2 linked regions of the Pelodiscus sinensis genome follow. The protein of the gene in region 2 interacts with the protein of the main gene of each other region in a biochemical or structural test. Links are inferred from orthologs where the notes say so. Each region holds a gene or a part of one and is shown on either strand. Other genes may lie near its edges.

What was found. The genes of interacting proteins can lie anywhere in the genome.
Region 1: the proteins of APBA1 (region 2) and CNTNAP4 form a complex in vitro, tested with the Homo sapiens proteins (2 studies listed by BioGRID and IntAct, with this or other methods). The link is inferred for Pelodiscus sinensis from reciprocal best matches to the Homo sapiens genes APBA1 and CNTNAP4.

Annotation. Positions count from the first base shown.
Region 1 is NC_134716.1:45,710,880-45,714,632, forward strand, and holds the start of CNTNAP4 (contactin-associated protein-like 4), read right to left. Parts: upstream 2,245-3,753; 5' UTR 1,939-2,244; coding exon 1,854-1,938; intron 1-1,853. UniProt on the Homo sapiens protein: Presynaptic protein involved in both dopaminergic synaptic transmission and GABAergic system, thereby participating in the structural maturation of inhibitory interneuron synapses.
Region 2 is NC_134716.1:32,505,433-32,509,185, forward strand, and holds the start of APBA1 (amyloid-beta A4 precursor protein-binding family A member 1), read right to left. Parts: upstream 2,292-3,753; 5' UTR 2,067-2,291; intron 818-2,066; exon of another isoform or gene 658-817; intron 1-657. UniProt on the Homo sapiens protein: Putative function in synaptic vesicle exocytosis by binding to Munc18-1, an essential component of the synaptic vesicle exocytotic machinery. May modulate processing of the amyloid-beta precursor protein (APP) and hence formation of APP-beta.

The sequences.
Region 1 (3,753 bases), about 13 Mb from region 2:
TTAATGGTTTTAAGCTAGTTTATATTCTCCAAGCATCATTTTCACTATCTCTACATGGAGAAGTATCCTTATTTCCTTACTTCACAGGGGTGTTTTGATTATGAGATAATTATAGGCAAATCTCTTTGTGTAAGAAAAATAAAAGTGTATTAATATAGACATTCATTTAAGCTTTGCTTGCCTTTTCACTGAGAAGTACTAGAGAAACAAAAAGGATAGATGTGGTTCATACCTGATATATTTTACCCTTCATAATTCTGTACTAGAAAAAGCTTGATTTTTCCTAAGCCTTATTTCTTAAATTGTAAGAGTGACCTCTAGTGCTTTACTGTTTTGTTGTATTCTGCAAGTCCTATTTTGCAATAGTTTTAATGTGCCTTTCTGTAAACATCTGATTTAGTCTTGTGAATAATGCCAAATGCTATTAATGTGATTCAATTATCATGATCTTGTGAAAATGGATGTATTAATAATACAGAATGATTAAGAGAATTAATTGTTAATTTCAGATTAACAATACAGAATGATTAAGAAAATTAAAGCTGAGCCTGGACTGCAGCAGGGTTTTTTTCCAAAGAAGCTTAGTATTTATGTTTAGAGCTCCTCTATGCACTGGAGTATCAAATGAGATATGATTACCGAATGACAGCACAAGATCATTTTGGCGCTGCAGTGTGATCATCAGGCTCATTGTAGCATGTTTAGTTTGCAAGATGTCCACAGGAAAACTCTTCAATGCACACAGCGCTTCTAACTTTGTCATGGCTCAGATGTTTGCAGAGAGCTGTCCCCTGCTACAGTGCTGTAAAGTTGTTCCTGAACATTCCCAGTAGCACTAACACCCACATTCTTAAAATGCAGTCACTATCTCAGCCTTTCCCATTCACATGATGCACAGCCAGCCCTTCAACTGGATTAAAAGTCAAAACAAAACAGGGTGCTCATTTTAAACATCGGCCATTTAGGCTACTATTCTGATAGATGTATCAAAAATAAAAAGCTTTATGATTCCCTGAAGCCAAAGGAACTCAGAACAATTACGGAGTTGGTAAATTGCTTGGAAGTTAGTTTCTGATAAATTAGTCAAAGGTCAAAATGCTCAGACTCGATTCAACATTGAAATCAAAGATCCCAGTTCAAAGTCACATATACATCAGATCTGCCTTCTAAAGGACAGATTCCCTTACACAGTGTAATCACCTGTCTCTGTTTTGTAATACTACCCTACTGGCTACCTATGGTTTACTCATTTAAAAAAAAACTTTCTGCTGCTACTGATAGTGCCTTCTTCCTTAGTTGTACATGAGCACTATTCTCTAAGAAATCAGTGCACATTCCAGGAAATCTTGTCCTCAAGATTTTTTCTTTGTTACATTTTCTTTGCTCATAAACTGCATCTTACTATACATAAGTCTTATTTGAGTGCCTGCTTATTCCATGATATTCAGCTACCAGCTTTCTGAATTACCCGGTGCTAAAATCTAAGCTGATGCAGCATACAGTAGAAGTCTTCCAGTAATTTCAATGTAAGACAAAATGCCTTGTAAAACAGGAAACAAAAATTAAAATGGGAATGGAACATGCACTTCCTTGGTTAATTTCAGATTATACTGGAACTTGAACTTCTCAATAGAATTCTGTATATAGATTTGTATAAAAATTTTAGAATTTTAGAAGTTAGACAATGATATTTCTCAGCCAAAGAAACATTGTCAGCCTAGCTATTTGCTGTCATGTTTACAGATATATTAAGCATTTAGTTCAAGAGCAAGATTTATTTCAAAGCTAAATGAAATAGCCCAGAAGTTTTCAAAGCAGTGTGCTCTGAGTTTTAAATAATTTGCAATACTTACATTTATTTCCTGACACTATTGTGTTCCAGTTCTGAACCAATAACAGAAACAGCAGTTTGAAGATGATTTCAGTGACAGAATCCATGTTCACATGTATTGAGGCACCCAAAAGAACTGAGTATTAGGGAACAGCTGTTCTGCACTTCAATCCTATTCTTGCTTCCTCTTCTCTCTGTCTCTCTTTCTGTCTGTGTGCGTCTCTCTTCTTTCAGTGCATCCCAGTAGTCAGATTCCTCAGTCAAACGCACTCTGCATCTGCTCACACATGCACACACACGGCCAAATCTGCTTTTTTTTCCCCCCCTTCCCTAACAACAGCAATCCCTTAAGAACAGCAGCAAGAATCACTCCTCCAATTTCACAGAATCACTCAGGGCTAAACTGCAAGACTACCCTGACAGCTTGCTTACAGAAGCTACACGTTCACATGTGTCCTGGACACCCCTTGTGGTGATAGGTAGGAAATGTGAGTCTCTAATGAAAGCCATATAATATGATAGAACATTCTGCACATATGCACCGGGACAGTCTTTTCTGGGCTTTCACTATGCCCAAGTCTTTACAGTGATTTTTATATATGTGAAATGTATTTATTTGGTGTACATCCTGGTTTTCTCTCCTTTTAGACACTATATCCAGAAAGAACTTTCAGTTGCTAAGGCACTTAGAAATATTATCTTTTAGAGATAATATATTATGTTTCTCAAGCATTTGTGGCAGGAACTCTAAGAGGGGAGGCAGAAAGTGCACTGGACCTAAGTGAGAAAAGTAAATGTAGGAAGTAGTAACCTAGTCTCCATAAGAAAATAATGCCTCAGAAATTTTGTAATAACCCATAAATGAAGGAGCTTCAATAAGATTGGTGTCACTTGGTTAAGCTTGTGTCAGCATTTCCTGACTGCTATTGCTCATTTTGAGGGTTAAAATAAAATACTTTGGTGGATCTTTAGCACACAAGATATTAACATTAAAGATATTAAGTGTTCTTTAAGCTGTCTAAAGGATTGTTATAGGAGTATAAAAGCTTTAGCTTGGATTTATTTTTCAGAGGGATTGTGATGTATGTATTTTAATTTACAGCCTCAAAATATACTTGAAAAACTGGCTAGAGTGGCCATGAATGGTAAACAGAGTAATAAGTACAAGCCTGATTACATGTTAAAGACTATCATTTTATTAGGTCTCTCCTGGCATCAGTGAGGCATTTTGTGCTAACAGTGATCATTCACCTCACAGACTGGTGGAGATTCTGTCACTACCATTTCCTCTTGGTTCCCATGACTAGATTCAGACTATAGACTGCACCGGAGGCTACTAGAATAATGTGCAGATTCACCATATTCCCAGCTTCTCTAATACATGCCCCTGTTCCAACAAGTACCCTCTTCCTTAAGGTCTCTCAGAAGCCTCTATGAATCTCCCAATCTGATATAAAGGTGGAGTTCACATCTCCTTGATGGGCTTTCCCCCCTATCAGGGGTCTTCCTTCAAAGGTTTATAGTAGGATAAACCAGCCTTGACAGCTGGTGTAAATCCTGCCCTCTTTATTGCAAACATACAACTTCAAAACACAGCAGGGCCATCAGTGGGCCAGACTGAAGAGAGTCTGAACTGTGGCATGTTTCAGACCACTCCCCCAGAACTCAATACAGGTCACCAATCAGAGTTGTTTGGCGATGGGAGCACGGTGGGAAGGAAGCCTGGCTAAGGCTCCCATAATCTAAACTTTTGGTTGCTTATCTAAGCCAAGCTTCCAAACATCCTGGCCATTCACTGATTTAACTAGAAATGGGGAAAGGAGGCGGTTTTGCTTTTACACAGCTACAGCACTTTAGTTTTGCAAAGCAAGACCATTGGTGGCTCAGATCAGGGCTTTAATTTAGCCAAACAATGTTTTGAG
Region 2 (3,753 bases):
TGCCTTTTAACAAAAATAAGAGCATGCAGTCAATTATGTGGCAAAAAGAAGAGCTTCAGAAAGGGGGAAAACAAGGACTATGTTTTAGAGTATTATTTTAGACAACAGTTCCACAAAGAACTAGCATACGATCATAGACCTAACATTCGAAAAAAATTACTTGTATATAAAATGTATCCTTTAATCTTTACATATAAATTACATATAGTGACATTTTAAACAAATTCTAAATCAGAATGAAAGAAGTGTAGAAGAGGAAAATTAAAAGCTGTGTTATGGAATGACTGGGCAAAGAAAGCCTGATCTGAAGCACTGGCAATTGGTGGAATACAAAACAATAATGAGCAGGATTTCTGACACCGAGTTTCTAAAGTGACAGGTATAAATGACCCTCATTTTTGGTTACCTATACAAAGATTTACCCTTTATTTCTATTTCTCAAACGTTGATAATGACAACATGTTATGTATTTGTTTGTGGAGGTATGACAGCCACAGGCAGCAAAGATAGGGGCACACTATTCATATTTTGACAGCAATGCAGTGAAATTTAAAGTATTGTGACTGGAATATTTTCCAAAGCATGATAGCTGAGATCCTATGAAACAGGTTAACAAAAATGCATTAAAATACTTATAGTAGGATGTGTTCTTATCACCTGGTATAATGTGCAATGAAGGTAAAATTTAACAACACATGCCGTGTTTGTCCCCCTTATTAGCGCATCCTTAATATATGCAGAACCAGAAACATCAATGCCTTATAGTCCATTTTCTGTCCCATTGTTTTAGTTCATGAGCAGTTATGGCATCAGAGATCTGTAATGCACAATACAGTAAGCTGAAATCCCTCATCATAATAAAGCCACAAGAAGTGGAAAGCCATCTCATTTTTCTGAAAGCTCAGGCCTAAGGTCCCCAGTATATTCCCTAAATGCAGATTTAAACATAACGACAGCAAAACAAGCTTCAGTGAATTGCTGAAGAATTGCTAGACCAAGCTTCCCAGAAAAAAAGGTGGAAGATATACATCTGTGATGACTGCAGGCCTGATTTAACCAAGCCACAACCTGACTGCACCAGCATCCGTGAAGAAGCTGGTAAGGGCAAGAACAAATCAAGTGGGCTCTGTTCTCTAAAAGTGGTATCTGACAATACCAGCTTGTCATCCCTGTCCTTGTTCAGACACACACACACACACAAAGTGTCCCAGATCCTGGGATGCACTAGGGATGGGAACAATTTCCTATTCCTGGAACCTCCAAAATCTGTCAAGAGGAGACCAGCAGCACTTTCTGCAGGAGATGTCATCTTCATCCCCTGTTCTGCCAGGGCCATGTGCTGCCTCTGTTCAGTTGCTACAGTCTCCTCCCCACCTCCAAAAAGAAAAAAAAAATCATTCCCCACACTATCAAAGGAAAGTAATCTATTAGCTCCAGTGAGAACACAGACCAACATAAATGGTTTCATAACAATAAATCCCCCCCCCAACTCACCACATTTTAAAAAAACATAATGATTACTGTGTTGAGACTATCTGCAGCAAGAGCTGGCCCCAGGGGCATTAACAAATCTGTGTATCTTTCACTGCAAATCTCACTCTCTGTCTCACACACACACCCCCTCCTAAAACCTGCCGTCTCCCATCCCCCCGCCCCACTCCCACTGGTGCATGCTGCACACAGCAAGTGCCTGCCACAACACTGTGCACTTCTGATGCCGGCGGCTGCCACCACCTCATTTTTTCAGTCGCAGCATCCTCTGCTGCCAGCAGATCCGGGAGGGGGGAAGGGAGAGGAGGAATCATGCCATATCCCCCGGTCTCTCTCAGCCAGGTTAGCTCACATCCCCTGCTCCCCGCGCGCGCACACACACACGCAGCCTTGTGCAGGCAGCCAGGCCCTCCTGCAGCCGGGCCCCTAGGCAAGCCCTCAGCCGCAGGCGGGCTCAGCATGTGGCCGCAGCACCAAATCCACATTCATTCGGGGCTCGCCGGATTCTGTCCCTTCGCGGTATTTCCTTGCGCCCATCCCCTTGCCACAGCGGGGCTGGGGAGAAGCCTCGTTACCTCGGCTGGAGTCTGCGCAGGCCCCTTCAGCAGGCAGCGCGGTGCTGCTGGGGCCGGGGAGCAGGGCAGCCAGGCGGGGAATGAGCCTTCACTTCAGCCGCTCCTACCTCCAGCTCCACCATCTTCCTCCCCCTCGCTCCTCCTGCCGCGGCTCCAGCTCTGCAGCCACCGGCGCGCAGCGCCCGGGCCAGCCCCTCTCCTGCGGCTCCGCCCCTGCCCCGCCTCCCTCCGCGTGACTGCCCCGGGGACAGACGGAGGCTCTGTCTCGCCCAGCCAGACAGGGAGAGAAGCGGGCTGGGAGGCGGGCGAGTCACTGCTCCTCCGTCCGCCGCAGATACAGGCATGCGGTCCCTCCCGCATCAGCGGCAGGGGCGGGCATGCAGCTGCTCTCCTTGTCGAGAGCCAACAGATGCATCCCTGCTGCAACCAAGCCCGCTCACATCCACAGCACAAGCATGCACCAGCCCCTCTCATCAACAGCGGCAGATGGAGATAGGAGTAAGCTATGCAGCGAGCCACGCTCACATCAACAGCAAGCCCCTCCACACGGCCAAATGTCCACCTCTTCCCCACCAAAGCCTTCACCACATTTAACCCAATTTGCCCTGCTGCTGAAGGGAGGACATTTAAAACTATGGGCGCAGGTTTGTTTCAAAATGTGTGCCGAAACTCCATAAACAATTATGCAACTTCGATTTGCGTCTACACCTATCTGAGTTTTGTGCACAAATGAAGTAAATGTGCCTTCAATTACTTCTAGGAAGCGCCACTAGGTATCTGAGTTCTCTTGTACTAATTTGCCTGCATGCACACATTGAATGTGTGATGTGGGAAGGGTGATAGGTGTGCATTCATTTTTTCTTGTCCTGGTAGATCTCTTGAGACTTTCATTATGAAATCTTTTTTTTTTCATTTAAAGGAGGGAGATTTTAAAAGATTTTTGAAACTCAGTGAAAAATAATTCCCCATAGACCACAAACTATAATTAGTGTTTGTAAAGTGTGAAATACTTGGAAGAAAAGTAAAATAACAAATCAGTACTTATCTGAGAATGCAATAGTTGTTACTATGCTAATGTTAATTCAGAATTTAATCATCAGCAAGAACAAAACTTCATTGATCCTTCTGGGAAGCATCTATCACTGATAAACACTACACTACCAGAGAGACTCTATGCCACACAGCTGAGCCATTCTGATTCTATCCTATAAATCGAAATTAAACCTGTACAACCTTGTCAGTTACCTACAATATCCCACTAATGCAAAATGTAGAGTGAAATGTATAGTTTAAAAGTGTATGTTGTACAATAAGGCAAAAGCCCAATTTTTCAGGGAACACCTCTAAAACCTGAATACAGTACTATGGTGCTTTCTGCTTCACTATCACATTCTCCCCCCACACGCACTCACACTGCTGTAGAGAAACCTTTTCTTCCATTTCATTTTTTTTCTTGCTTGGTGTCTTTATTCATCAATTTAATGTACTTGTTCTTTCTTTGTCTTCCTCCCTCCTTGAGATGTCTCCTAGCTTTACATACTGGAGAGAGTGTAACTCCTCATGGCACTGGGGCACAGATGGGAGCAGAAAAAAGATACCACAAAATTGGTGTATGCTTCATCTTTTTCTGCTCTTATATCCTAACACTGTTCTTCTGAGGCAGAGTGGGCACATAAGACCTTTAAGT